4 linked regions of the Arabidopsis thaliana genome follow. The protein of the gene in region 2 purifies or fractionates together with the protein of the main gene of each other region. This does not show direct contact. Each region holds a gene or a part of one and is shown on either strand. Other genes may lie near its edges.

What was found.
Region 1: the proteins of SUVR2 (region 2) and ETL1 purify together in Arabidopsis thaliana (affinity purification with western blotting; one study listed by BioGRID). This does not show direct contact.
Region 3: the proteins of SUVR2 (region 2) and AT1G50410 purify together in Arabidopsis thaliana (affinity purification with mass spectrometry, with the first as the bait; one study listed by BioGRID). This does not show direct contact.
Region 4: the proteins of SUVR2 (region 2) and AT3G20010 purify together in Arabidopsis thaliana (affinity purification with western blotting; 2 studies listed by BioGRID, with this or other methods). This does not show direct contact.

Annotation. Positions count from the first base shown.
Region 1 is NC_003071.7:521,037-527,648, forward strand, and holds ETL1 (SNF2 domain-containing protein / helicase domain-containing protein), read left to right. Parts: upstream 1-2,186; 5' UTR 2,187-2,444; coding exon 2,445-3,029; intron 3,030-3,225; coding exon 3,226-3,343; intron 3,344-3,423; coding exon 3,424-3,464; intron 3,465-3,548; coding exon 3,549-3,799; intron 3,800-3,868; coding exon 3,869-4,049; intron 4,050-4,158; coding exon 4,159-4,344; intron 4,345-4,429; coding exon 4,430-4,603; intron 4,604-4,685; coding exon 4,686-4,844; intron 4,845-4,935; coding exon 4,936-5,013; intron 5,014-5,110; coding exon 5,111-5,247; intron 5,248-5,337; coding exon 5,338-5,556; intron 5,557-5,685; coding exon 5,686-5,848; 3' UTR 5,849-6,032; downstream 6,033-6,612. Other genes in the region: IDD4 (indeterminate(ID)-domain 4), read right to left, coding at 1-134. UniProt on the Arabidopsis thaliana protein: DNA helicase that possesses intrinsic ATP-dependent nucleosome-remodeling activity and is both required for DNA repair and heterochromatin organization.
Region 2 is NC_003076.8:17,695,969-17,702,960, reverse strand, and holds SUVR2 (SET-domain containing protein lysine methyltransferase family protein), read right to left. Parts: upstream 5,120-6,992; 5' UTR 4,867-5,119; intron 4,518-4,866; 5' UTR 4,508-4,517; coding exon 4,256-4,507; intron 4,146-4,255; coding exon 4,089-4,145; exon of another isoform or gene 4,034-4,088; coding exon of another isoform or gene 4,001-4,033; coding exon 3,962-4,000; intron 3,878-3,961; coding exon 3,616-3,877; intron 3,504-3,615; coding exon 2,386-3,503; intron 2,208-2,385; coding exon 1,957-2,207; intron 1,821-1,956; coding exon 1,754-1,820; intron 1,651-1,753; coding exon 1,600-1,650; intron 1,476-1,599; coding exon 1,379-1,475; intron 1,257-1,378; coding exon 1,228-1,256; 3' UTR 925-1,227; downstream 1-924. Other genes in the region: AT5G44000 (Glutathione S-transferase family protein), read left to right, coding at 204-453, 545-730; PDLP1 (plasmodesmata-located protein 1), read left to right, coding at 6,503-6,992. UniProt on the Arabidopsis thaliana protein: Probable inactive histone-lysine methyltransferase that acts as regulator of transctiptional gene silencing independently of histone H3K9 methylation.
Region 3 is NC_003070.9:18,670,282-18,678,559, reverse strand, and holds AT1G50410 (SNF2 domain-containing protein / helicase domain-containing protein / zinc finger protein-like protein), read right to left. Parts: upstream 6,425-8,278; 5' UTR 6,256-6,424; exon of another isoform or gene 5,780-6,255; 5' UTR 5,733-5,779; coding exon 5,642-5,732; intron 5,564-5,641; coding exon 5,037-5,563; intron 4,538-5,036; coding exon 4,466-4,537; intron 4,395-4,465; coding exon 4,317-4,394; intron 4,232-4,316; coding exon 3,301-4,231; intron 2,955-3,300; coding exon 2,824-2,954; intron 2,614-2,823; coding exon 2,395-2,613; intron 2,273-2,394; coding exon 1,691-2,272; coding exon of another isoform or gene 1,670-1,690; exon of another isoform or gene 1,593-1,669; coding exon 1,383-1,592; intron 1,300-1,382; coding exon 1,195-1,299; 3' UTR 908-1,194; downstream 1-907. Other genes in the region: SCL3 (scarecrow-like 3), read left to right, coding at 1-383; AT1G50400 (Eukaryotic porin family protein), read right to left, coding at 8,238-8,278. UniProt on the Arabidopsis thaliana protein: Probable helicase-like transcription factor involved in transcriptional gene silencing. Associates with SUVR2 and contributes to transcriptional gene silencing at RNA-directed DNA methylation (RdDM) target loci but also at RdDM-independent target loci.
Region 4 is NC_003074.8:6,968,815-6,977,106, forward strand, and holds AT3G20010 (SNF2 domain-containing protein / helicase domain-containing protein / zinc finger protein-like protein), read left to right. Parts: upstream 1-1,868; 5' UTR 1,869-2,052; intron 2,053-2,128; exon of another isoform or gene 2,129-2,297; intron 2,298-2,467; 5' UTR 2,468-2,537; coding exon 2,538-2,643; intron 2,644-2,748; coding exon 2,749-3,425; exon of another isoform or gene 3,426-3,953; coding exon 3,954-4,025; exon of another isoform or gene 4,026-4,099; coding exon 4,100-4,177; intron 4,178-4,275; coding exon 4,276-5,254; intron 5,255-5,636; coding exon 5,637-5,767; intron 5,768-6,011; coding exon 6,012-6,233; intron 6,234-6,356; coding exon 6,357-6,920; coding exon of another isoform or gene 6,921-6,968; exon of another isoform or gene 6,969-7,045; coding exon 7,046-7,255; exon of another isoform or gene 7,256-7,297; intron 7,298-7,421; coding exon 7,422-7,526; 3' UTR 7,527-7,877; downstream 7,878-8,292. Other genes in the region: TOM40 (translocase of the outer mitochondrial membrane 40), read left to right, coding at 47-97, 210-275, 606-707, 841-909, 1,008-1,091, 1,198-1,293, 1,380-1,433. UniProt on the Arabidopsis thaliana protein: Probable helicase-like transcription factor involved in transcriptional gene silencing. Associates with SUVR2 and contributes to transcriptional gene silencing at RNA-directed DNA methylation (RdDM) target loci but also at RdDM-independent target loci.

The sequences.
Region 1 (6,612 bases), on a different chromosome or scaffold from region 2:
TGTTGAATCATTGACATAAAAGTATCTTTCCGGTTAAAGTCGTTATCTCCGGTGCCGGAGCTGGTGATGAAGAAAGGCTGAGCAGAGGATGATGATGAAGGAATAACGCTTGTGTTATATGATGATGACGACATCTTTAGATCTTCTTCTTTGCGTGGAAGAGAATAATCTACAAATAATTCGTAAGACAAAAAAGTTAAGAAGAAAACGAAGGGAGGAATTATAAGAACAGGAAAAATCCATAGAGATTGACGACATGAAGAAATTTTATAAAAACCATTTCACTAGAAGACATAAACAAAGAAAAACAAATTAAGAGTTTATACTTTTGTTTTTTGTTCCTAAACTTTTGAAAGAATTAAGAGGAAAGATTTCTAAGTTGTATTTTTCTTGTACCTGAGATCAAGAGAAAGAAACCAAGTAGAAGAAGGAAAAAAAATAGTCAAAATTAAAAGCTATAAATCGGAGCTAAAGAAAGAACCAAGAAGAAGATGATGCATGATGATGATGATGAGATAGAAGATGATGATGAAGAAGAAGACACTATTCCTATATATTATGTATTATAATACAAACACAAACCTCAAAGCCCTATCTCTCTCTATCTCTATATCTCTTTCTCTCTCTACTGTTTTGTGTTCTTCTTCTTTTAAAAATAAGCCATATATGAAATGATCTTGAAAAGTATGTCTCTAAGGTCCCCTCTCTGTCTCTATCATTTTATTTTATTTCGATTAATATAAAATAAAGCTACTTTTTTTCTTTCTTATAATTTAATTTGACAGAATTAAGAAGGATGGTTACGGTTTGGGTGTCACTGTTAAAACGGTGAAATGTGTCCACATGCGGGGGTGTGTTGTGGGTACCACATTTTTCTCATTCGTATCTTTCTGGTGAGCTTTAAGACAAAACCCTCGTTTTCTCTTCATTTAACTTGATTAGGTTTTGTTGTACTAACTTTTTTTTAATTGTTTTTATCTAATAAAATCGTTTATAATATAACATATCGTATATTAATACACATGATACACCAATCAATAGAGAATTTTTTAAAATTTGTTAGATTCTTGTATGAAAATTAATATATTGCTTTTCTTCTTTGGTTCAATTCTTCAACCTTTCAGAATGTTCAATGCAAAACAATCGAACCGATTGGTTTTGAATCAAACCTAATTAATCCTGAACGAGTAACCAACTCTCAACCGATCTGAATAGATTTTAAAACGATATATCACAAAATCTCCAATATCACTTTAAGAGCTTTGAGAAAATATTATTGATATATTATTATTCGACCGTAAAGTTTGATTTTCTCCTTTTCACTTGGGCTTTTTAATCTTATACAATTTAGTTTTATTTTAGTTTACAAACGACAACATATTTAAGTAACAGGTGACTTCTCAACTTGATCCTCTCTTCATTACCATCGATGCTTTTTAAGTTATACTGAGATCGTACCAACTGCAATGGGTCAGTGCCGGGCCATATTCAATCAGGGCCTCCCTGATTGGGTTGTAATATGATTTCAAGTTAGTAATATGAAATAGCACACAGTCACGCACACAAAAGAGCCTATATAAGGAGAGATATACCACAAACAGCCCAAGACCCAGTTGTTTTAGATGAACCAAAATTGTATGGAAATATTTAGTATTTGAAACTGCCGTCACCAAGATGGCAAGGTCAGAGAAACTCAATAACAACTCTGTTTCTGCCATTCCGAGAGTTAATATTAATTTTCAGAGTTAATGGATTAGCTAGTAAACATATATATACAAATGATAATAACCTGTAGAATGAGGATTAAGATCGAGAACGACGAGGTTATCTTTACCGCAACATTCCAAACGTAGCCAAAGCTCTATTACCATACCCCTCAATGTACATATCCAGCTTATAAGACTCCTATCCAGTATCCACCATCCAACGAAACACACTCTCAGATTCTTCCACATTATGAATACATGTCAACCAAATAATTTCTCACCTCAACCATCATTTCAAAACCAAATCTTCAAGCAAACCCCATGGATTTAAAAACCCTTTTCAAGTGCGTCAAACAAACCACAAGCTTTTAGATTTGTCGAGAAAGTGAAGTCGTTGGGCCCATTTCTTCGGATCCCTTAAGTTCACCATTAAGTACTCATTAGAGCCCATTTCTTGGGGCCCATTAAGAGATTAAGTCCGCGCGCATAGCTTTTGGAGGATGCCGCTCTTTTGTAAGAAGCAACACGTTGTTGAGTCTCTAACCTTTCTTTGAAATCTTGACCTTTCCCTTCCTTCTCCGCTAAATTCGTTTTAATTTCATCTTCTTCTTCTTCTTCAATTCGATGCAATAATAGTCACTTCAATCTCAATCTAGGGTTTTCAATTTTCTTCATGTGAATTTTTTTTCCCCTTCTTCTCAATTTCAATTCAATCTGGGATTCGTAAATTCTCGGAAGATGAAACGCGATTTCGACGAAATCTCCGAGGAAGAGTGGTCTCAACACTCGTTTAACGCTTCGCGAGTTCTTAAACGACCACGGACTCCGAAGAAGACTCGCGCGGCGACGAATCCAACGCCGTCGATTGAGTCTTTTGCGTTTAGGAGACCTTCGACGGCGATGACGATTGAGAGTAATAGCAGCGATGGTGATTGTGTTGAGATTGAGGATTTGGGAGATTCGGATTCGGATGTGAAGATTGTGAATGGTGAGGATTTGTTGTTAGAGGATGAAGAAGAAGTGGAAGAGACTAAGGTTGTGATGCGCGCTGCGAGAGTTGGTAGGAGATTTGTGATTGAAGATGAAGAAGCGAGTGATGATGATGATGATGAGGCTGAGAGTAGTGCTAGTGAGGATGAATTTGGAGGAGGAGGAGGAGGAAGTGGAGGAAGGAGAGGAGAAGATGAAGATGTTGTGGGGAAGGCATTGCAAAAGTGTGCTAAAATCTCAGCGGATCTTCGAAAAGAGCTTTATGGTACTTCTTCTGGTGTTACTGATAGATACTCTGAAGTTGAAACTTCTACTGTCAGGATTGTCACACAGGTACTGGAAATTATCACTTTGGTGTTCTTAAAGTAGTTGCTTTGAGACGATTTAGAGTGTCTTCCTTATACAATTGTGAAGTAACTTTTGATTAGATAGCATATTTTGGTGGTAAGCTTTGATTGGTTTGGTTAGAGTTTACTGTTTTGTTAACTAAAACTTGTTTACTTTTGGGTTGAATCTGTGATGATCGCAGAATGATATTGATGATGCATGTAAAGCAGAGGATTCTGATTTTCAGCCTATACTCAAGCCGTACCAGTTAGTTGGTGTTAACTTTCTTCTTCTGTTGTATAAGAAAGGAATTGAAGGAGGTATGTGTTTTTACTAGTTTCGATCTGTAAACCTTTTTAGCGTGAATGTCACTTTGTAACTCACTTTCTATTGTTTGTAGCCATTTTAGCCGATGAGATGGGTCTTGGAAAGACCATTCAGGTGCATTTTGCTCTGTTATTACTGGATAAGTTTTCTTTGTTTCTTTATCTTATAAAGAACTAATTTTGTTCTCATTTACCTTAGGCAATCACATATTTAACCCTCCTAAGTCGCTTAAACAATGACCCTGGTCCTCATTTGGTTGTATGCCCTGCCTCTGTCTTGGAAAACTGGGAGAGAGAGCTCAGAAAATGGTGTCCGTCGTTTACTGTACTTCAATACCACGGAGCTGCGAGAGCAGCCTACTCAAGAGAATTGAATTCTTTGTCAAAAGCTGGGAAGCCACCACCATTCAATGTGCTTCTTGTGTGTTACTCTCTGTTTGAACGGCATAGGTGCAACTCTTGATGCTTTTATTTGCTTTTTGGCTTTTCCTGTTACTCACAGATGTTGGAATTTTACAGTGAACAACAGAAAGATGACCGAAAAGTACTGAAACGGTGGCGCTGGAGCTGTGTTTTGATGGATGAAGCCCATGCGTTAAAGGATAAGAATAGTTATAGGTGGAAAAACTTGATGTCTGTGGCCAGAAACGCAAACCAGCGTCTTATGCTTACAGGAACGCCTCTACAAAATGATTTGCATGTACGGTTGGTTTCTGTTGATTTTTTCAGGATCTAATTACCTAATATAGACGACATTTCTTCATGTGGTCATACAATGCTTATTCCCTGCATATGTTTGGTCTATGCAGGAACTATGGTCGCTGTTGGAGTTCATGTTGCCTGATATATTTACGACAGAGAATGTTGACTTGAAGAAGTTGTTGAATGCAGAAGATACTGAGTTGATTACTCGAATGAAATCTATCTTAGGTCCTTTCATCTTGAGGCGTTTAAAATCTGATGTCATGCAGCAACTTGTTCCGAAGATACAGCGGGTATGGATATATCTATGCACAATTAAGTACACGATATTAATCTTCTAGCTGCAAATCTCATTAATTTCCCATCAATCCAATGCAGGTTGAATATGTATTAATGGAGAGAAAGCAGGAAGATGCATATAAAGAAGCCATAGAGGAGTATCGTGCTGCTTCTCAAGCACGGCTTGTGAAGCTTTCATCAAAATCCTTGAATTCTTTAGCCAAGGCACTTCCAAAGCGTCAAATTTCAAACTATTTTACTCAATTCCGGAAGGTAATTCTCAGCTACTAATACAAAGCCCCTTTTGTGCCAAATGAGTGTGTTATTCATGTGTTATTAAATTTTGGTTGTACAGATTGCAAACCATCCATTGTTAATTAGGCGGATATACAGCGATGAGGATGTCATTCGCATCGCCAGGAAATTGCACCCAATCGGTGCATTTGGATTTGAATGTTCCTTGGATAGAGTTATCGAGGAAGTTAAGGGTTTCAACGATTTCCGTATCCACCAGGTAAATGTTTCTCTTTCCAAAAGCAGTTGAATATCCATTAACAAACATGTTATGCAATTGAAGAAGCTAACTAACTTGTTTCTTTCCATAGCTTTTGTTCCAATATGGAGTTAACGATACCAAAGGAACTCTCTCAGACAAACATGTCATGCTCTCAGCAAAATGTCGGGTACGTGATATTCTTCTTCATTTCATAAGTCTTCTTTGTGAAACTGATTAAGTATAACTAAACCTGTGAGCGATCTAAATCTCCCTTTATGTATCAGACATTAGCTGAGCTTCTCCCTTCAATGAAGAAATCCGGCCATCGTGTTCTAATATTTAGTCAATGGACATCGATGCTCGATATCTTAGAATGGACACTTGATGTCATCGGCGTTACATACCGAAGACTTGACGGCAGGTAATAAAAGAAAAAAGAGTAATTTGTCACATTTTTGACGATTCTACAAAAAGGAAGAAGCTTAAGTCATTTTCCTTTTGTTTTCAACAGTACTCAAGTTACAGATAGACAAACCATAGTCGACACATTCAACAACGATAAGTCGATATTCGCATGTCTCTTGTCAACTCGAGCAGGTGGACAAGGTCTTAATTTAACCGGAGCGGATACAGTCATTATTCACGATATGGATTTTAATCCACAGATTGATCGGCAAGCTGAAGATCGTTGCCATCGTATTGGTCAAACAAAACCAGTCACTATCTTCAGGTTTGAGCTTTAAATCCTTGAATCAGTTTAGATAACTTTCAGAACAAAATTGTGGTTTGGATTGGTTTATGTGTGCTCTGTTTTGTATTCTCACATATATCTGTATTAACTCTGGCAATGCTGGTGCAGACTGGTGACGAAATCGACGGTTGATGAGAACATCTACGAGATAGCGAAGCGGAAACTAGTTCTTGATGCGGCGGTTCTAGAGTCCGGAGTTCACGTAGATGACAACGGAGACACGCCTGAGAAAACCATGGGAGAGATTCTTGCTTCTCTTCTCATGGGATAACATTATTGTTACCTTTTTTGTTTTGAGGTAAAATTAGTCAAGAAACGAAGTTAATGTGTTATTCTAAACATGTGTAACCACTAGCTATTATTAGACTTAAATTTAATAGATCACGATAGTTATATTTTCTTCTACGCATGTAAATTATAACCCAAAAATTTCCTTCTTTAGACCTAAAAGTCACAATTGTTCCAAACACTAAAATGTGGATCAGTGATCAAATGAAGTGAACCTTCAGGATAGTTTAGTCTTCGATCATCAAAGATTGTATAAAGGAGTGACTTAGCTGTATTTGTAGGTATCAAAATTGAAAACCTCACGCAATGATTAAAGGTCTCAAGTATCTTTATTCGTCAGAGTTGTATAAGACACAAATCTCACTAGATTGTTTTCCCATTGTCTTTGCCGAAACCTAACAATGAACAACTAGTTCTATTAGGATTGGTTCAAGAATGTCACATAGTATAAGTTTTTCTTAGCTGAAAAATTCTAGATAACTTGGAATAAATTCTAGATAGTCTTTTTTTTTTGCTACATTTGAAGATAAATATCTATGAAAATGTTCAAATTCATGATTATATTATTGCGATTAAATAATTGAATATGACTATACAAAATAATTCACTAGTAAATCAAAGCCATACTAAGTTTGGATTCTTTGTGGTAACTGCCATTGCCAAGTCACGTTTTGAAGGTGTTCTCATGGTCAATTTACACTTAAAATTGAACCTGAAAACTAAGGCCAACCGGAAACTTGTTGAATT
Region 2 (6,992 bases):
AAAGGTGTGGGTTTGCGCAGAGCCAAGAAGTGTATGATGGAGCTGTAAAATGAACTCTTTAGTATTAAAAGCTATAGAAAGCAACTGAATTGTTCACATTTGATGCGGTTTTTGCGTAGCTTGTGTTCTTGATGCTGCAATGTGTGTTTGTTGCTAAAGTTGATGGCTTTGTTTGTTGTGTCATGTGTGGTGATTTTTGAAAGGTGCGGGTTTGCGCAGAGCCAAGAAGCGTATGATGGAGCAGTGAATGAACTCTTTAGTACCTTAGATGAGATTGAGGATCACTTGGGTAGTAATAGATACTTGTGTGGAGAAAGGTTGACATTGGCTGATGTATGTCTGTTCACAACTCTGATTCGTTTTGATTCGGTTTACAACATTCTATTCAAATGCACCAAGAAGAAGCTTGTTGAATACCCAAATCTCTATGGCTATTTGCGCGAGATTTACCAGGTTCCTCTTCTTACTGGCTTCTCTCTGAGACATAAATTCTGCATCTGGGAGTGTGTTTCAAATTATGTGTTTGTTGTTGTTGTTGAAACAGATTCCTGGTGTTGCGGCTACTTGTGATATTTCGGCTATAATGGATGGCTACTACAAGACGCTGTTTCCGCTAAACGCTAGTGGAATTCAACCGGCCATTTCTTCATCTGGCGATCAAGATTCTCTCTGGAGACCTCATAACCGAGACTTGGTAGGTAAAGCCATTGAAGCACAGCTTTCGGTTTAAGCGTAGAAAACTGTACATAACTCAATGATAGGATTATCCAACAGCACTCAAAAGTATCATACAATGTAATAAGCTTTGATCTTGTACTATTATCATTCCTCATATATATAGAGAGAGAGAAGCCTTCCACAAGTGATTCTCATGGGAGTTCTTCTTAAGGTGAAATCACTTTCAAGACTTCACTTCGATACTACGATTTATATAAATAGAGAGATCTTTCAATATAAGTCATAACCAAAAGCCATAGCCGTTAGAACCAAAATTAAGATATTCACACGAGTTTTTGATATCACAAAAGTGAATCAGTTTCTAAGGATTATAGTTTCATCCTGATAGCTACCTACCTATTTTATGGACCGCGACTTTGCTTATATGCATTGTCGGAATTTTTTACAAAAAGCGTTTTTCGATTGGAATTTTTTTGCCAATTCATTCACAACAAAAAGGAGTTTGCGCCCACCACATATCTTCAAAACCTACCAATGTAAAGCTCTCTCTCATGCTCGCTTCTTCACATTCTTGCCTTCTGCAGCATCAACAAATTGCGTGTTAGTTGCAAAATAGTGAAGGGCTCATGTTTCAAAACCGAGATAACAGTCAAATATAGGAAAAGGATTATCAAATAGAAATCGTGTGATGATTACTCACTGCTAATCTGCTTCCTGACTCGGCAGAAGTCGCTACCACATTGACAATGGAACGGACTCGTGGGAAACACATCTTGGTTGAATGGGACACCATAATCCTGCAGGTCAAGTCCAAAACTTCTCAAACAGAACCACAAAGAAAACAGGACTTGAACCCGAACTAGTGAAAATTTCTAAAAGAAACAAATCTGTTAAGAGTGGGTGGAGAAACTTCTAACACACCCAGGTAAGTTCCTCCATAGCATCGATCTCTCTTGTTGTGAAGAATGCAAGCTGGAAAAAAATACAGATTAGCTAATCGGTCTATTGTTTCCACATAACAGATGAGTCTTCTATAAGCAAATGATTAGAAATGAAACAAGGAACTGTGTCATACATGATAGTAGTGTGAATCAGTAGTCTCCGCATGAACTGGGATCTCAATCAAATTTGCATCTAAGCATCTGCACATATAGACATAGTACAGTTAGAAGTAATGAATTGAGAGTGAAACCAACTATATAAGTTTCCCAAATGAGTTCTAAATCTAGGCTAGTCATATGAAACTTTATAACAAACTCATTTTCAGTGTCCCTTTACCTGTGATTGATGAACCTGGAAATATTTCCATAGTGCGTTCCTTCAAGAGAAAGTGCTTTGTCATCCCCTGAAATGTCTTCAGAACCCCAGTACGCATCCAATATTACTGGAGAAGTAGGCCTGTCAGAGATGCGTTGGAACAACTCTGGAATGGTCAATATCTCTCCAGCAAGCTCACAGACAAATGCTCCTTTAGGCAGTTTTTCTAGAGTTCTGAGTCCCCAGCCTCTCCCATTGGGCGTGAAAAACACCTGATTCAAAAAAAAAAAAAAAAAGGAACATAAACAAAATTCAGGCATCAGAATCTCTCCACTGGTTAAGTCCAAGTTAAAATGATCATAATCAGTTTCAATTCTATCAGAACTGAGATGGGTTTAGATTATCAAATCCTGGACTACTTGGCTAAAAAGGTTGGTAAGTTGAATGTACCTGCAGCTTGTTGTGAATGCCCTGTTGGACAACTCGGTTGCCACAATTCTTCATGCAGCCACACTTGCTCCAACATTCTTTAATGGCCTTTCTCTTTAGATGCCCTTTGCACGGTTCCAGGATTACTTCTTTTTTGGCTTTCTCTAAAGGACATTCTTTGCAATACAGTAACATTTGTTTCCGCGGATCACGGGCCTCAGAGATACACTGTTCCAGAAAATCTTCCTGTAGGAGGCCATCTACTGTGTATGCAAAGCCATTAAAAGCAGTTGCACATCTGCATGCCATTGACGGAGCCAAGCAATCTCCACAGCAAGAGGAGCAGCATTGGTCATCCCTGATATTCCCAAGCGAAAACTTCACTGCAGCATCTTGATACACAAGACTTTGGGCTATGTAATGGAAAACTGGAGGAACTTTGTCGTTGACCTCATTCACCCAGGGAATCTCAACAGTTTCTTTCCCTAGACTGATGTCCCCGACGCTGCTTATCAATCTCCACTCATCTGCAGAAAGTTGGCATTCAGGAACAACTACCAAAGCCATGGAATCACCAACTGCACCGTTTTCAGCATCACGCATATGTTCGTTGCTGCAGATTTCAACAACATCATTACTGGCCTGAGAAGTATAAGCCATCCTTGCTGCAGATTTCTTCAATGCATCAATGTTCGTTGTGACAAACGGCAAGTTTTTTGGCAATTGGTTAGCTGAATCTCTCCCGTTTGTTGCCAGGTCCAGGTAGCAGCTACAGATGTCGTTCATAAAACCAAGCACAGAAAAGTTGGGGTCCAGTATTTTGTATGATCGGAGACACTTCTCCTCCATTGCTCTTCGTAGTTCCTCCATAGAAGGTAAATGGGGATTTGATCCTCCAGTTGCAGGAGCAAAACTAAGATTAATCTTCACCTCGCCTGAAGCAGAAGAAGCTAATTCAAGTGCTGGAGGTTCTTCTATGGTTGCAGCTAGCTTGTGATCACTAAATCTCGCAACAGTTGTAGGAGAAATGTCATTGGTAGTACCATCAGCAGTACTTACTGTTTCACCAGCCTTCTCTTCCACATGTCCATTTGATTTGTCTATCTCAAGCATGGAAGAGTCCCCTCTATCTACTGAATCTACAGAAAACGTACAAGACACATTAGTTTTGGAGAAAGTAGCTTCAACAATCATAACAACAAAATGAGCAATGCAAATAAGATTTAGTTACTCCTATTTACAAAAAAGTACCAGGAATAGAACTGAGAGGCATATTTGTAATGGGCTCGACTTTTGTAAGAATGAGCTCACCAGCATCATGGTCATTTTCAATTGGTACAGGATGATATGGCAATAGGATCGGAGCATTTTCTTCGTCATTAATTGAAGGTCCCTCTAAAGTCGGACTGCCCAAGCTAGGGCTTGCCAAAGCAGAGCCTCCTTCACCTCTGCGTCGCAGCCTCTTTAAAGGGCGATCAGACTCAGCCATAACATCTTCGTCATCCTCGATAGACTGATATTACACAACAGAAACTGAATAAACAAGAACATGAAGACACATTACTCTAACACAGCAAAGATATTCAGTTTGCCATACTTCATGGAGCTTTTTCTTTCCTCTGTCAACTTCTGCGGCCTGAAAGATTGGATCAACAACAAAGTGAAGCATGGATAATAAAGCAACATTGAACTAATAAATGGAAGATTGTTTGGAAAAAACATACACAGCCTTCATCCTCTTTAACTTCGTCTGCCTTCTTTTCTTCGCTTTCTTGAATAGCCTTTATATAAGTAAATCAATATGGAATGTCAAGGTAATAACAAAGACAATGATTACAACAGATTTACAAAAAAAAAAACAGTAGATCAAAGAGAGAACAAAGAAAGATACCTGATCTTCATGGCTATCGAAGATAGCATCAGCAAGAACCCTGTAATTGTCTTCAGCAATTAACTCCCAGTTTTTCTCGTAAAGGGCGAGAAGGTTTTTCAAGACCGGCTTCACTCGCGCATCCTCTATTCCCATAGCCCTCATAGCCATAAATGCTTTCTTGATATGCAGATTAGGTGCCATCGTTTCTGCACCAACAAAACTAAAACTGATTGTGGGATTGCTTTCGTGAAACAAGTTGTAACTTCTCATTTGCCTCGTCCTATCAAAATGCGGAAGAAACAAGATGTGAAGAGCCGTTCAGTAAGGAAATAAATGTGGCCAGAACTCAAAACATTACAACAATAAGCAAAGACAGACCTAAAGCAAATCAACAACAAACCAAGACTACAGACATCTACCTAGCAGCAAAGACTAACCACAAGTAGCAGAAAAGACTCAGAAATTGAATATCCTAAGAAAGTTGAAACCTTTCCTCTTAAGAAAACACAATCGCACAAAGAAACTCTAACAAAACGTTGTTTTTTCTCTTCCAGAGAGCTAATAGCGTTTTCAGATGACGATGAGACTCAAAAAGGAGAAGACTTTCGTCGGAAATTAGAAGAACTTACTAAGTACAGAGACGAGAGGGTTAGGGTTTAAAGCGAGCTCGGTACAGAGAAAGGATTCCACGATTTTGACTTACTTAGTGAAGAATCTTGGCCGTAATAAGCAAATGACAACGGCGTAGAGACAATGTCGGTGACGACGGCAGAGTATTACGTCGGCGCGTGAGAGTACACGCGAGGACAGTGCCAGGTGAAATTTCGTTTCTTTCTCAGTATCTTGTTCGACTGTGACTTTTTGTTGACCCTCTCTCTTTCTTCTTCTTCTCTGCTTAATGGGCCGGGCTTAATTGGGTCGGGTCAAACTCAATAAATAAGCGAATCTTATTGACCTCTTAAGATTTGTTTTTGATCTTACTACTATCATGTGTATGTAACTATGTATGTCTCAAATTCTCCGGTATTTAAATCCAATGCAGGCAGTTCTGGTAACCTTATTTTATAAAAATTATTCACTAATATTGTATAGGGAATCTATACTTAATTAAGAGTTTCACATATCTTTTACAGTATACAGTATTAGTTCTTTCCTTTTGTAGTCTTTAACTCTTAATGATTTTGAAACATTGGGGAACACCTCTACTTCTCCGAGCAATCTTTTTTTTTTTTTTTTGGGCAAATGCTTGTTTTCATTCATCTACAAGAGAAAACAAGTACAAAGGTAGAAGGATTCTAAGATCACAAAGTTTTAACATACAACAAAGATAGGCATTCCCCAATACCATAAAAGGTAAGCAAAAGCATAGGTAAAATACATCAACAAAGGTTCCAAGAGAGCTATAATCCAAACACACAAAGGCAATTTGGTTCTTGTGAGATCAAGGGTTGTTGACAAATCTTCCACACTCACCAACTCAAAATATATCATATAGAATGTGAAATCCAAAATCCTGCAAAAACAATCATGCTTATCATTAACTCAAAATAATCATAGTGATAATATCTTTTGTAGTTTACAAAAACACACAGGTTTATTATTATTTACTCCAGTTACTACGCAATTATGTTCTGAAATTATGTAAACTCAAAACGATCATGTTTTGTTTTGTTTTGGACACAAAATAAAATCGAATCAATCATTCACATTTACAACAAGGTCTAAGATTTTATTTTCCTTCTCGTATCAGCCTACAATTTAAATCAAACTCATCAAAATATATCTTAGTGCCTTAAACAAAAAATACATATACACAAAAGGTGTTTTTCCATCAATGTCCTAAAACAAAATCCAAATTCAGACAATAAAGTCAGATTTAATGGCATTAAAGGTTATTCACTAAATTCAACAACAAAAAAGAAGAAACAGTAATCATTTTTTTTTGATACTGTATTACATAATCTCCTAAACCAAATCTATATAATAAACACTTGTCGTCTCAAAGTTTCTTTCTTTTTTATCTTACCCTTGAAGCAAGATCCAAAGAAAAGTATACTCCTTTATTTTTCATGGTTTCATACTACAAAACCTGCTCTTATTTACATTTTTTTGTCTTTAAACCTCAAAACAAAAGACAAAAAAAAAACGGAAAACTTTCTTTTTTCCGGACACATAAAAACAACACAAACTTTATTAGACAGAAACAAACTAGTAAAAAGATTTTGAACATCAAGAAACAAAAATCTCTCTCTGTCTTTCTCAATTATGAAACTCACCTATCAATTCTTCATCTTCTGGTTCTTTTTACCATTCTTTGCAATCTCCGGTGATGATGATTATAAAAATCTGATCTTTAAAGGTTGTGCAAATCAGAAATCTCCAGACCCAACTGGTGTTTTCTCTCAGAATCTCAAAAACTTATTCACTTCTTTAGTTTCTCAATCATCACAAAGCTCTTTCGCTTCCGTAACCTCCGGAACTGATAACACCACCGCCGTGATCGGTGTTTTTCAGTGCCGTGGCGATCTCCAAAACGCTCAGTGTTACGATTGCGTCTCCAAAATCCCTAAACTCGTTTCTAAACTCTGCGGTGGCGGCAGAGATGACGGTAATGTGGTGGCGGCTCGTGTTCACCTCGCTGGATGTTATATCCGGTATGAGAGTTCAGGATTCCGGCAAACTTCCGGTACGGAGATGTTGTTCCGTGTCTGTGGGAAAAAAGATTCTAACGATCCTGGGTTTGTCGGGAAAAGGG
Region 3 (8,278 bases), on a different chromosome or scaffold from region 2:
CCACACTAATGGAGAGGCTATTAGAATCACTTTACACCTACGCAGCATTGTTTGATTGCTTGGAAACAAAAGTTCCAAGAACGTCTCAAGATAGGATCAAAGTGGAGAAGATGCTCTTCGGGGAGGAGATCAAGAACATCATATCCTGCGAGGGATTTGAGAGAAGAGAAAGACACGAGAAGCTTGAGAAATGGAGCCAGAGGATCGATTTGGCTGGTTTTGGGAATGTTCCTCTTAGCTATTATGCGATGTTGCAGGCTAGGAGATTGCTTCAAGGGTGCGGTTTTGATGGGTATAGAATCAAGGAAGAGAGCGGGTGCGCAGTAATTTGCTGGCAAGATCGACCTCTATACTCGGTATCAGCTTGGAGATGCAGGAAGTGAATGATATATTACAGTTTGTCTTCTATTTTGGTTATGAGCAGAGTCCCTTTCTTTTTTGTATACATGGGGACACAATCTTAGTTGTTTTGTGATGGTGACTTTCTGTCTCTTTATGCTATTTTGGCTTAAATGCTTCTACTGCCTCTGCATGTAAAGCCTTTGTGTGTTGGTTCAATTTGGTCTGGTGTGGGTGTAATACCAAACCAAATCCAATTTGAGCTGAAGATAACTAATTTGATGATCGGTTCAAGTTCAGAACTCCAAATTCTTTCAGAGACCAGCCAAACTTTGCCTATCTTTAAGCAGGTGATCTTGTCATTTGTGTATTGTAAATAACTTAAACTCGGTATATATATTTAGGTTACTAAAGGACATGTTCACTATCCAAAGAGTATACGACTTATCTGCTGTCCAAATACTTTGTAACCTAAAGTTCACGTGCTTCATTTACATTGAATCTAGTTTAACCTAATCTTCTTGCTTCATTTATATTTGAATTTTGTTTAAGCAATCTAGTCTTTATCTTGTCTTAGCAAATTCACAGAGTGTTTCTCATGCAAAAGTGTTGCATGATCAAAACACCTTGATAATAAGATTGAAAGAGTAATGTGATCCCAAAAGGAAAGAAGATCTCGGATGAACTGATTCAGAAAAAGTATATACTCTGATGTTATATATACTATGAGACAACAGCTAAGTTATTTACATATTTCCTCATTTCAAATCTGTGAACCTGAAGAACACAAGAATGCAGCTCATGATCAAAATTCTGAAAGAAGCGAAACTTCGCCAACCCAAGATTTAAGAACAGCTACACCATGAATAGATATTTGAGATCATCAACTGTTAATCGAGTTGCAGAGCTTCCACCATGATCTTCACCAAAGGCAGACGCAACCATTTTTCTTTTCTCTTCCTATAATAATAACCAAAAATCACACAACCACAAATGAGAGAAACTGAGGGGGGAAACAAGTATCAGCTATAAGGGATCTTTACCTGGAGAGCCAAAATTCTATCCTCCACAGTATTTTTTATCGTAATACGAGTTACAGTAACAGGTCGAGTTTGTCCAATACGATGTGCTCGATCAATAGCCTGATCTTCAGTAGTTGGATTCCACCATAGATCAAGAAGAATGACATGACATGCAGCAATCATATTCAGCCCAAGATTTCCAGCTTTTAAAGACATTATCATCACTTTTACCTGTTTAAGACAAAAAAACAAAAAAAGGAGGGAACACATACACCACCACTAAGAAAATTGTTTAGGAAAAAATGATTTCAGATATGCATACGACTTACATCTGGATCGTTGCTGAATTCTTTCACAGCTCTGTCTCTGGCAATTAGACTCATTGTACCATCTAATCTTCTGAATTCTATACTATTTTCAATTAGAGATAGCTCCACCAAGTCAAGCATACCAGTCCACTGAGAAAATATAATCGTTTTTATTGGTCCTCCATTAGAAGGAGTTGACTTCAGACTCGTTTTCTCGACAATGGTGACATCATCATCATCATCATCATCATCATCATTCGGCTGCTGCGAGGAAGAAGCCATTTGACCATTCTGTGTTGAGTTTGAAGTGCCTTGGTTAGAAAGCGACTGCAGAATATCTAAGACAGCTTTGATCTTTGATGAACTAAACTCGCCATTCTGAAAAACTGATTTATCATGACTATTATCCTCTGAGGAACTACAACCCAAATCATCAGCAACGCAACTTCTAAGCGTGGATTTAGAGAAAACAACATCATGCGCAAGCTGTTCTCTGCATCTAGGCGCAGGGCACGTGTCCTCATCCCCTGTGATATAATCTGATACACACTGATAGCAGAATATATGGCCACACAAAGTAACAACAGGGTCTTCTGGTGGATCCTGCAAAGAGAAAATAAAACGGAATTTATGGGTAAAGAAAATCAGAACAAGCAGCTAGGGACTTAGATTATGGCGAACCTGAAGATACGCTACTTATATTTGCTAAATTATTATGCACTTACATGGCAGACACAACAGATGGGAGACGATTCTAAGCGACTGAGCAGGCTAACTAGATCCTCTTTAGGGAGTTTTTTAACAGCTTCTTCTGATACTTTTCCAACAGAATCTGAGTTATATCTTTTAACAAGTTGGGGGTGGTCACAAGCTTGGCGTAGTCGCAAAAGCATGAGAAGAATGTTTGCATAGTTTTGATTCAAAGTTCCTGCAGCAGCATATGCCTGCAGAGAAAAAAATATCATCTCACATACTTGACAGGAAATCAGGAATCACTGCAAAACATTTTTTTCAACGAAAATGCCTCCATAACCTATGTTTATACCATATCAAGTTGCTAGTTACTACGTAAGTATCATATTTTTCAAAAACGTGCAGATCACAGCTATAAACCAAGGATAAACTGATAGTTTGGAGGAGCACAGAAAGAGCACCTTGAACTGAGAACGGGAATCGGATTCAAGCTTCACGTAGAAAGACCGCTCCTCTACCGAAAAGTCCACCTGGCTCAAATTAATTGTCTTTGGTGGTAGATTAATTATAGGCTGGCCATCAAGCAATGTTCCTAGATCGCAGATCAGAAGAAGAGTATCAACTTATCAGAAACCCTCAAAAACAACACAGTTACTTGAGGGATAAGAGGAGTAACATGAAAAATATATCATCTAAAAGCAGAAGATCAGAGTAAAATGAAATGGAAAAATGCACAAACCGAAGAATAGTATTGGACTTAACTTTAGGACTATCATTAGGTAATGGCTCAGGTAAGATCACAGCTAATCTCATTATAAAGTATCTAAGATATAAGCAGATATAATAAGAAAATGCATGACATATGATATACCACTTTTGTCAAGTCCTGTCCCTCACCAATCCAACCACTAAAAGGAATAGTGAGATAGTTAAAATACCTTTCGTACGGCGTAGCATTATAGCCCTTAGAACAGCCTGAAGCTTCTTGTACCCTTGAAGGGAATTTCTGGAAATTGGACCCTTAATTTGGTGGCAGAATGACTTGTACACAGCATATGGATCATATTTTAGAAACCTGAAATAGCTGTATAAATCATCTATTGTATTTTGTATTGGTGTTCCAGACAAACACCACCTCCTTTTGGCTCGAAGACCGCAACATGCTCTTGCCACCTGGGTTCTATGATTCTTAATTGTTTGAGCTTCATCTAGTACAACTCTGAACCACCCAACTTTTGCTAGAGTACCAGAGTCAGGGTCAGATGAATCGCCAGCATTATTGTTACCTTTTTTCTTCTTACTCTTCTTAGTAGTACCCACTACATTTTTCCGTTTCTTATTGATGGAGAAGCCAGAAGCGAGACCATATTTTTCAGAATTTTTTTCATCATTCTCATCGTCATCAACCAGGGGTTGCTTTGGAACTTCATTTGAAACAATGGCGTAAGTTGTCATAACCACATCATATTTTGCTAGTTCAATAGGATCTTTGGTCCTGTTACCGCCGTGGTATATTAAAACAGAAAGTTTGGCTTCATCAGTAACCTTCTCATCAAGTTCTCTTGCCCACTGCCGCACAACACTTGCTGGACAAACAATTAAAGTACCAGCAGCTGGTCTCTTTCTGTTGAATTTGCGTGTTGAAGTACTCGCTTCTTCTCCCTTGGCTTTCTTTATGCCTGAATCACCATTCACACCACTACCATTTGAAGCCTTAGACTCTGGTTTCTCAAATGCATTTTCTGACTCATCATCAGCATCCAGATCCAATGCTTCAGCCTCTTGATTGCCTGAATTCTTGGACTTTAATTTTGCCTCGTGCATTTGCTTTAGGATAAGCGCAATAGTCGAGACTGTCTTACCAAGGCCCTGTGCAGTAGACCAAATGGAATTTGAGGGAAACCTAGTAAGATCATAGATAGTTAAGCGGAAAATAACTACGATTAAAAGTAACCTGATCATCAGCTAATATCCCTCCCATACAGTGCAAACTATTAGTTTCCTTCTGAAACATCCATGCCAATGCAATTTTCTGAGAAACAACAGTGTTAAGTACACAAGACCATTCTGACAGATACTGAAAGATGATGTAAACCTGAATACCTGATGCTTCATAAGGGGAACCGAAAGAAGACCAGCAGGTAAATCGACCTCGGACTTGGGTTGATTCAGTTCCTGCAGAAAACATGTACTTAATTATCAGAAGTTTAAGCACTTATCACACCAATTCATATTGTGGGCAAAAGTCTTTATTTTTAAATCACACCATTTCATACCAGGGGAATTATGCAAAAACACCAAACTCTTCAAATGGAAATCATAACCTTGATGCAACAGTGCGAAATAAGAGACGAATGCAACAATAGTGAATGTTCCTATTCCTTCTCGTTTGTCAAAAAGGAAGAACAACAATGCTTCCATACACATGGTCTAAAACAGAGAAATTCAGCATGTTACCCGGTCTCAAGCATCATTGAGAAATTGAGACATCCGAACCTTTAAAAACCTATTACTCATTTCTGACATAAAACAAACAGGAAGAAACGAGCCTATTCCAATCATTCAATGGCCAAGTTCAACAACCCCACAGCTGGCGAAAAAGAGAAGTGCATTGCACAAAAGAAAAACTAAGATGAGAATCGCAAAAGTCAAAAGTTGGGATAAGGATGAACACCTGTAGTGCAGCCTGATAGATCAGCCTCTCGTCATTTTCCGAATTCCTTTCTTCGCCTATGCCATTCCTATGCATTGGATCACTTAATCCATTAAAATGTGAAGGAGACGCAGATGTTCCGTGCGCCACAGATGGAGGTAGGATCCGAGTGCCGTTAGTCACACGCCCCATGCCTAGATCATCATGTGCTCCACCACGAAAGTGACTCGCATTCCCGTTACTTGTACCAATATCAGGTCTAGGAGGAAAAGGAGGTCGACTAAAGGTTGGTGGATGTGTCCTTTTAAAAGCTTGTTGAGATGAAAATTTCTCATAATCACCAACAGAGATATTGGGAATTCTGGAAGTTACGATACTCCCATTTCCCGGAATATGTGTATGGTGTTCTGCCCGAGGCAGTGGCTTGGATTCAAAACCATTACGTGAGTCGAGATTTGTAAGTCCTGTTTTAGTGTGGCCATTTGCACCGGAAGAACTCCCACTAAGAAAGTGCGGTCTCAGCGTAGAGAGATCTCTTCTATGAGATCCTGCACCAAGATCAACAACTCCATAAAGCTAACCTCACAGCAAAACAAATAAAACAATTGATAGGTCAGAAATGCAACCTTCAGCTATCCGTGGGGGATGTTGAGGCCTGGTTCTAGTTTCTTGTATCTCGACATCACTATCAGAACTGATATCAATAGCGGAATCCATCGCAAGACCTCCTTTAAGAGAATCAAGCGGTCAAGTTTCTAATCAGCCTGAAATACGCAAGAAAGGAATGTTAATCATCTAAAACGCAAAACTTTACAAAGCGCTCTGTTATTGCGAGAAAGGCAAATCCGAAACTAAGATTACCAAAAGAGTAGGATCAAACAAAGTAAAGCTACATACTTTATGAAGAGAATCACTTGCTTATTGTAAAGTAATGCTAAATCGATATAAACAATCATAATCACCAAAAGAATGTTTCAAGTGGGCGGTGGCTTTGGAAACTTTGTAATGTTTGAAAAAATTAGCATCAATCTCTAGAGGACGATCACCGAAACTCTTCAGCTTGAACAAAAAAAAAACTCCAATTGAAGATTATTCAGAAACCCAAATAAGCAATTAGGACAGAACAAAACAGAACAACGTCATGCAATGGCGGGACAACATAATCAAAAACCAAACTTTCGATGTAAGAAACCCTAAGGGCACGACGAAATAAGGAAAATTGGGGAGAATCAGTGAGTACCGGGGAAAGAAGTAAGAAGCAAAATTGAGAAAAGAGAGAGTGTGAAGCCAATTGTTGTTCTTCATAGGAAGGGTTTTTTCCTCAGTTGACCCAAAGGAAGAATCAGAGACGCAACGGCGGCGTTTTGATCGGAGAGAAAAATGAAAAAAGAAATATAGATACGCTCTCATCGGTTTTTTAAAAAACGAGGAAAAATCTCAACAAATAAATTAAATTAATAGTAGGAACAAAAAAACAGAACCAGGCCCAAACCTCTCGGCCCATATTATTTCAACTTCACATATATATATATATATATATATTAAGGATGATTGTTGACCAAAAAAAAGAAAAAAATCATTGAGAACATAATTAAACAAATTAGACTGTGAATTCTCACTCCATAAAATGGGTATGAAATCAAAAAAAAAAATTGTTATAAAATTTACTAGTACTGTTTCTTATTGGTTTTGAATGTAATATATCACTAAAAATTTCTTATATAAAAGTAAATTATAATTTCAAAAATACTAATTGACATAAAAAAAATTGAGCTTCCGAGATATCATTTACATTAATCAAGGTGGACACTACTAATATTTCCTGGAATTTTAAGATACATGGATCTTGAATCCACATCCACCATATATGAGAAACGACATATCCAGATCCAAATCCGTTAATATCGGATTCAAATCCACCATAAATAACTCACAATTAAAATAATAGTATAAAACAAATAAAAAGTTTGTATCCAAATTAATCATAAAACAAATTTAATTATCAACTATTTTTCAAATGGATTAAATTTAAAATATTGCACAACAAATTTAAAATATTTTTTTTGGTGATTTTTTGAGCAATTTATATAAAATAAGGATATCCTAATTTTTAAATCAAAATATCTAAATCCAAAGATTTTGGATAACCTATTTTTAGATCGAATTTCAGAATGAATCTTGGATCCCGAATATTTTGTCTAGCAAAAATTCAGAACCCATTAGAAACAAAAAAAAGCCATTGAAAGAATTCAACAAAATGAGATTTTACCTTTTGGACTAAAGCACCGATACTTAGTCTCAAGATTTTACTAAGATTTTTCTCGTAGCCTTCTAGTATTGGGATTGTTTCAAAAGTAGGACAACAGAAAAATATGTGGTGGTATTAGTAGATTTGTTGTTATCTTTAGAATTTAGAAAGACGTATATTTATATAGGGATACAATATAGTTCGAGTTTTAGTTATTGGAAACTTTATTCCCTAAATACTAAAAATCTTGTGAAGTAAATATTTATAGTTGACCAAAATTTCATAATAATTACCTTGGTTTGGAAAAAACATAAAATTGACTAAGTTTATTATAGACAATTTATTTTATAATAATAAGAAAGAAAATCGCTTAAAAATGTTAAAAGTAAACTTCATCCAAAGTCTTATTATTTATGTTAAACTTATAAAAAATACAAAACTATTTCTTACATGTATAAAACCTTGTAAATATCTTAGAAAACATTTTATATACTTTATAAAAACTTTTAAATATCTTATAAAACCTTATAAATACTTGGATCGACTCTTCAAAAATTAGTTACTATCGAGAAGTACCATGTAAACAATAAACTTTACTAACATTATCAGGTTTAATGAAAGCATTTTTGAAAATGTATGAAAATGAGTACAACAAAAGGAGCAATTTTGAAAATTCCTCCACTTTAAACTATTTTGTTAATTAAAAAATTAACTGAAAGCTAAAAGAAAATTTAGACTATTTTCATAGTTCTCCCAAAGTTAAATCTAACAAAAAAAGAGTTCTGATGTTTACACATTAATTAAATTAAATAATAAACAAGAAAGGCTCTTCCTCAATGTGAAATGAAGAAACCTCCTTGGCTTTTATTCTTGTGGGAGCAATACAGTAAAAATATCTAAACTAAAAAAACTGAACATCAAAAAATAACCAAATCTTGAGGTTTCTAACTAATTGTGAAGGCCATTTGATGGAATTAAAAGGCGTTAACACCGAAACCAAACTTGTAATCCTTCT
Region 4 (8,292 bases), on a different chromosome or scaffold from region 2:
TCTCTGTAATATTGTGTTTGTCATCTTTGTTTACTTTCTTTACCAGATAACAAATGAGGAACATATGTCACAAGCAATGTTCAACTTTGATTACATGGTATGAAAATTCTCTGTATATAATAATTTCCTATCCTTGTGATGTACCTTTTTATTATACAGTATTTGGTTCATTGAGTTTTTTTAACTGTTTTTATCTCACATTTATGTAGGGATCAGACTACAGAGCTCAGCTTCAACTTGGACAGAGTGCCCTAATTGGAGCAACTTATATCCAGGTAAGTTTGACTTGTCCCGTGCTACAGTGGAAACTTTCTAGATTTTTCTGTGTAGTCAAATAGCCAGGGAAAGGTTACTAACCATCTCTGAGTGTTTTAACCGTGTACTGTTTGCCTTGATTCGTCTAGCTGTGACATAGATGAGAGGTGAACCTTACGTCGTTCTATTAGACTTTGTGATTATGTCATGCTTAGTTTCTGTGGTCAAAGTTATATATATATCTTTTATCTGTGGGCAGTCTTTCTTTTGATCAGTAATAGTTAAAATTTTAAGTAAGGAATGTATCTGTTTTTTTCTATTCATTAAATTATCATAATTTTTTTGTACAGAGTGTTACAAACCATTTATCCTTGGGTGGTGAAATTTTCTGGGCTGGTGTGCCTCGGAAGTCGGGAATAGGCTATGCTGCTAGATACGAGACAGATAAAATGGTAGTGCTTCATCTCAGTTGGTTTATTATACAAATTGCAAGGTTCAAAAACTCAGTTAGCTGAAAGTAGATCAGAATTTTGAACACTTTGAGTTTATATACCCATCATATTAAGAACTGTTCTTGATGAACAGGTTGCTTCTGGTCAAGTTGCTAGCACGGGTGCTGTTGTTATGAACTATGTTCAGAAGATTTCAGATAAGGTGATGTACCGTTCTCATTTGATTGCATCTTAAAACCTTGTAGAGTTGAGAGATATATCATGACACATTCAATCTTTTTCATGAATCATGACACACAGGTGTCACTTGCCACTGATTTCATGTACAACTACTTTTCAAGAGATGTAACAGCTAGTGTGGGTTATGACTATATGCTTAGACAGGTAAGTAACATTGCCATATTTTCCCTGGATTGTAAGTGAATTGAAAACAAGCAACAAAAGAACATTCTAAATCCGTATTATTCTAATAATATGGGTTTTGTTTCAGGCTCGTGTGCGGGGTAAGATCGATTCAAACGGTGTTGCATCCGCTCTCCTTGAAGAAAGATTGAGTATGGGACTCAATTTTCTTCTTTCTGCAGAGGTACACAAATGATCTGCTACTTAGATTTCCGCTGGTTCCTGTATTGATTCTCCTTTAAAACTCTGGTTTCGTTTTGTTCGATCCAGCTGGATCATAAGAAGAAGGACTACAAGTTTGGTTTCGGATTAACAGTTGGTTAAAAGACCGAATAAAAACCGGCACACAATAAGCCTGGCGCACAGAGCAGATTGCAGCAGTAGTGGTTTCAGCTGCGAGGATTTCGGTTAAAATTTATTCTATTTCAGTTTAGGCTTTTTGGTGAAGTTGGGAAGATAAACGGTAACGATGTTGTGTTGTTATTTGAGGTTTAGGATTTGTTTCCAAGAACCATTTTATAAAAGAAGAAGAAGCAAATGAGGTTTTTGTTTTACTTCCTTGCTCTAAGATCTCGTGAACTTCCGAGAGAGGTGTATCATTTCATTTCCTTGCCATAAAAAAAAACGAATTCTTTTTTTCTTCCTCGTTCGTTGTCTGATTTGTTGAAAATATTTTATTCGAATATAAAATCACCTGAGATTTGTTGCTTTTGACGTGGAAATATAAGATGGGCCGAGATAGACGTCACAGTGGGCCGAGATAGACGTCACAGTGGGCCGAGAAAATGTGAGTTTTTACTTGGATGAAATTGAAATTGTACGTTGGGTTTTTGTACTCATCATCTCTTTCTCCGTCGTAACCGCAAACATTTGTGAGAGATTCCGAGCGAAAAAAACCCTAGTGTACAGTGGCGTCTTTCTTCTCCAACTCGCTTCTTCCCTGGTACTGTTCCTTTCCCTCCATTTTTTCCGATTCGAGCTCTTTCTCGTCTTCCTCTTCTACTTTTTCTGTTTTTTTTTTTTGTTTTACTTTTCTTACATTTACCTCATCGTGTAGGGTTTTACATTTCTGAATCCCGCATTGCTTGATTTCTTTTGTTTATGGCCTTCTTTCGCTTTCCGTGTTGCTAAATTAGTTTCCGATTTCAGCGAAATAGCGTTTTTGTTCCGTTGATCATCCATTTCGAGGTTTATGCCAAGTCGTCAACCTTACACCGTTTTCAAAAATCAACTTATTTTGTGGTGCTGATTGTTGATTTTTGTTGTTGCTTAGGATGCTTTGTTTTCGAATGTTAGTTCAAATGGTGGCTTTGTAGTGGGTTTCATTTGGAGAATAACACAAATCTTTTGCTTCGCAGGCTGATTCGGTTTCTTAAAAGACCTATTACTGATTCTTCTGAGGAGACTGACGTTGAAGGAGATTTTGTAATGGATTCTGCTATTGAAATTAGTTCAGGTAGTGATAGTGATGACGAAGTACCACCGCAGCCTGTTTGGCCACAAACTCGAACCAGGATGGATCCCACATGGCTAAGTATAGTTTTTGGCATATCTTTGTCAATTTCGGTCTTTCTGGTGAGGTTAGTTTTGGTAGCTTTATGGACTGATCGACTTTGATGCTGTGTTTTTTTCTTTGCAGGCAGGAGACCTTTGCCTACAGTGGATAGCCATGCTAGAGCTGAACATACAAATCAGGCTCCTCCCAATGGTGCCTCGAGTGATACTTCTCGGCCTGGAGTCTCTAAGCCTTTCACAGGGAATGGGAACACTGTAAACTCGAGAATTTCCAGTGGATCTGGTGCTGATTATGTGAGACTGTCTTCTGAGCAAGCTCTGAAAAGAACTCTTCCACCCTCTTTTAATTCCCCTCCCCTTCCTGCCAGAAGTGGCACTAACAATATAAGTAATGCTAGTGGAAGTCGTGTTGGTGTGGATTATGAGAGACCATTGTCTCAGCAAGCTCTGAAAAGAACTCTTCCACCCTCTTTTAATCCCCCTCCCCTTCCTTCCAGAAGTGGCACAAACAATATACGTAATGCTGGTGGGAGTCGCTTTGGTGCCGATTATAGTCATCCAGCTGTGTCAGCTGTAGGCAACAAGAGTACCTTTGGTGATCATTATAGTGGAGCCCATGCTGAGATAGGAATTCAACGTGGCGTGAATGGGGTTAGGATCCTGCCTCCATCTCTGACGCATGGAACATCTGCTTCTGTTTTGCATCATGCTGGTTCGAGTGATCCAATGCACAGGTTTGGTGGTGGTGAAGATAGGAATCCTGATAACGATGAAAGGCTGGTTTATCAGGCTGCACTACAGGTATTCATCCTCAGCACAACCCTTTGTTATTTGTGGACTTCAACACTTAAGCTCTTCTTTTGTGCTTGCATATCTAGTTATCGTTGCCCCTTGTACCAGCTTTACATTTTGCCGGCTCTTTTGAATCTCTTAATATGATTGTCATAGAGTATAATGGAGCAATAATTGACTCTAAATCTGGCTCATTTTTTTTTGTTAAATATTTTTCTGAGGTGCATGGTGCATGAAACGTTTTATAAGCGTTTGCATGTCTCATTGATGCTTCGGTCATACTACCATGCTGGATCAACTCAATTTTATACTGACTATCTTAAAATAATAATGTAGCTGCATTCGTTTTCTTCATGTCTGAGAAATAATGATAATTAATAATAATTTGGATCATTGACAATAGATGTAGCATTTATTTTCCGATTTTACTCTGGTACATTATAAGGGTGTTGAGAGCTCGGTGTTGTTCCATAATCTACCTGATATGAAATGGCGTGGTAAGTGCATTTTTGATTATCAAGTACTTTAATCCTGCAGGTTTTGAATCAACCCATGACTGAAAGTGATCTACCTCCTGGTACTCTTTCAGTTCCTCTTATGAGGCATCAGGTAGTAGCATGTTTTAAGTTTCCATTTATTGGCCGTTGGTATTGGTTTGTGTATTAAGTACTACTGGTCTTCAGAAAATTGCGTTGGCATGGATGTTTCAGAAGGAAACAAGTAGTTTCAACTGTCCAGGAGGGATACTAGCAGATGATCAGGTCACATTTGATTAAATTTCTTGACTAATAAATATCTGTGATACTGTGAGTCTGCTGCTTGGATATTTACCTCAAACTATGTAACGTCTACTCTGCAGGGACTTGGTAAGACGGTCTCGACGATTGCTCTTATCCTAAAGCAAAAGATTGTGTCACAACTGAAGTCCGAAAGTTCATGCAAGCAAGAAACTGAGGCATTAGTCCTGGATGCTGATGATGAGTCAGACAATGCAAAGCATGAAAGTGGTAGTCATGTAAAACCAGAGCTCAAGGTTTCAAGCAACAGTGAGACCTCGGTTCTGAGTGCATGTGGTAATGATGAGAATGACAGTTCAGATATGGAGAAAGCCGAAGATGAAGAAGCTAATTCTTCAACACGAGCATTTCAGTGGAAGAGACCAGCTGCTGGTACATTAATTGTTTGCCCAGCGAGTGTTGTAAGGCAGTGGGCAAGAGAGCTTGATGAGAAGGTTTCTGAAGAATCCAAACTTTCTGTGTTAGTCTACCATGGTAGTAATAGGACCAAAGATCCTAATGAATTAGCAGAATACGATGTGGTTGTGACAACGTACGCTATTGTTACTAATGAAGCTCCCAACAAATTCTTGGTGGATGAGGATGAGAACGATGAAAAAAATACTGACAGATATGGTCTTGCCTCTGGCTTCTCCAACAATAAGAAACGGAAAGTCGTGGTGGGTGCTAGTAAGAAGAGTAAAAGAAGAGGTAGAAAAAGCACTAACGATACTTCTTCTGAGCCTGATTGTGGTCCTCTAGGAAAGGTTGGGTGGTTCAGAATAGTACTAGATGAAGCTCAGACAATTAAGAACTATAGAACACAAATGGCAAGATCATGTTGCACTCTTCGAGCCAAAAGGAGGTGGTGCTTGTCTGGAACACCAATACAAAATACGATTGATGATTTATATAGCTATTTCAGGTTTCTTAGATATGATCCATATGCGGTGTACAAGTCATTTTACAGTACAATCAAGGTTCCAATTTCCAGAAATTCTTGTCAAGGTTACAAGAAGCTTCAAGCTGTTCTAAGGGCTATAATGCTGCGCCGCACCAAAGGTACTCTGATCATCTCTTTATTCTCTTTGATGGTTGGTTGAGTTGTTTATGTGGCCGGGACTTCTCAATCATTACTATTAATATTATCTATGTTATCTTGACACTTTGTGATTTTATCGGCTTATCTATAATGTACTCAATAAAGAGAGTACCTGTTAGTTTATTGAACCTGTCACCTGAGTTAGTCCTCCGGTCATGTGGTTAATAAAATAACAATTTTGTCTTCTCATCTGTACATTTTTCCTTTTGTCTTCTCATCTGTTCATTTTTATTTTGATATTTTCTGTTTGATGGTAGATTTTTACTTTGCTCCTATTATATTCGTACGTGGTTGTGCTGCACTTGATGGTTTCTGCTAAATATCTACTGTTCTGCTATCTAGGAACATTGCTTGATGGGAAACCCATAATTAATCTACCTCCAAAGGTAGTAAATTTGAGCCAGGTAGACTTTTCAGTGGCTGAGCGCTCTTTCTACAAGAAGCTTGAAGCTGATTCACGTTCACAGTTCAAGGTTCTCCTATTTTTTCCCCCACAAAGTATCTGTTCATACTTGGTTTACAATTGATGTGCACTTTTTTGGTTAAGAAGATCCATTTATAGCAACTAAATGCTTAATAAATGTGACCTTGTAGTTATGCAGCAATTTTATTGGAGATCCATGTTTCTGAGTGTCTTGCAAGTCTTCATTTCGTCCTATGAGAGAACACAAACTAGTAGCTGTACCCGATAGGATGATAAATTCATTTTCCCTGCAGGCCTATGCTGATGCGGGAACTTTGAGTCAAAACTACGCAAATATTCTTCTGTTGCTTTTGCGACTACGCCAAGCTTGTGACCACCCACAACTTGTTAAAAGATATAACTCAGATCCTGTTGGAAAAGTATCAGAAGCAGCAGTTAGAAGACTCCCTAGGGAGGCTCGAAGCAGACTGATCAATCGCTTAGAGTCATCATCTGCCATCTGCTATGAGTGCAATGTAAGTGCAGAAGTGCAGAGTAAATGAGACCTAGAAATAGCATGTCCTCAGGCTCACTATTCTCTAGTTCTTAGGTCTTGTCCTGACTATCTTTGCTTCTTTTTTTTTCATATTTATTCGCAGGAGCCACCAGAAAAACCTGTTGTTACGTTGTGTGGCCATATATTTTGCTATGAATGTGTTTTAGAATACATAACTGGGGATGAGAACACGTGCCCTGTACCGAGATGCAAACAACAGCTTGCGCGTGATGTTGTTTTCTCTGAATCTTCTCTTAGAAATTGCACTTCTGATGATTCGGGCTGTAGTTCCTCTCATGATAATGGTCTTGATAGATCGGTATTTCAAAAAAGAGACTTTTGTTCATCAAAAATTAAAGCTGTCCTCGATATCCTGCAGTCGCTTTCCCAACCAGACAGTCCAAACTCAGCTCAGCATGGTCAAATGCCATCTTCCTCACGGCCATATGATGACGATGATGTTACCATTGTAGAGCCAATGCGTCTTCACTCATCTTCACCTAGCCAGGGGGCAGTAAAGACGATAATATTTTCTCAGTGGACTGGTATGCTTGACTTGGTTGAGCTGCGTATTCTTGAAAGTGGTATTGAATTCAGAAGATTAGATGGCACAATGAGTCTAGCAGCAAGAGACAGGGCGGTTAAAGAATTCAGTAAAAAACCAGATGTAAGTGATGTAAATATCTTAGATATGTTTTCTAAAACAATATACTAATCGTTTCTCTGAAATATGGAATGTTCATGGAGTATTGATCCTGAAGCTCTCTAAAAGCGCAAAAAAAATTTTATTAGGTAAAGGTGATGCTGATGTCGCTAAAAGCTGGAAACCTTGGGCTGAATATGGTAGCTGCATGTCATGTTATTCTCTTGGATCTTTGGTGGAATCCAACTACCGAAGATCAGGCGATTGATCGTGCACATCGTATTGGACAAACTCGGCCAGTTACTGTAACTCGCATAACTATAAAAGACACCGTTGAGGATAGAATTTTGAAGCTTCAGGTATTCTCTAAACTCTATCTGCTCATTGTCGCTGGGTTTTGGGTTCCCTTGGTTTCCTTTTCAGATTTATATTTACAGTAATTTTTTCAAGCTAATTACTAAAGAGAGTTTTTGTGGTAGACTATGAAGGGCTTATGAATTTTCTCGTTTACCATTTTTTTTTCAGGAAGAGAAAAGGACAATGGTTGCATCGGCCTTTGGTGAAGAACATGGTGGAAGCTCTGCGACACGTCTAACAGTAGACGATCTCAAGTATCTGTTTATGGTGTAGACTACTCGTTGTATGGTCTAAGCGTAGCCTTCTAATCGCCTCTTGAACTAGGTTGCTTAGTACAGTACATATGGGAGATTTAGCCCAGAATTTTGATCAGGAAGAAACCTCTAGCTGCTTTTGTAATGGATATCCAATACTGTGGCACTCCTTTGGTTTTGTAAGGTTTGAACCCAATCTATGCATTTTTGGTGTTTCCAAAGTGCATCGATTGGAAACAGGCCATAAGTAAATAACTAAAATCGGTTCATGGTATATATACCACGTAGGATTTTGACCTTAAATGTAAAAGATCAATTGCTTAAAAGTTTGTTCTGTATTTCACGTCTCTCTTATATCATGACATTCCACGCATTGTTTTCAGCTTGAAGGCAGTCTCATGTATGCTTTGGAAACATTAGTTTGTGAAGCCAGCCGTACAATTTGGTCAATCTTTGTATTGTGCTAACTTCTTCCAGCAATGTGGATTAGATGAGAGATCCTCTGTATGTATATTCATAGCTTGTTGCCTTGTTCCTTCATGGTACATTGTTTATAACCGATGATTGGAGAGTGGACTCAACCTACATACGGTTTTACGGTTTAGGACAGACACCTAGCTGTTAAGAGGAAGGTATGCAGAAGAGAAAATGCAGAACCCCCTTTCTTTCTTGAAAAGGTAGATACACTCTAGGAAGGTTTAGAACAAATGAATGAGAAAACTCTGCATTGTAGGTTCAAGAAACACTAATAAGAAATCCACATGTTTACTGATTAGTGAGAAACC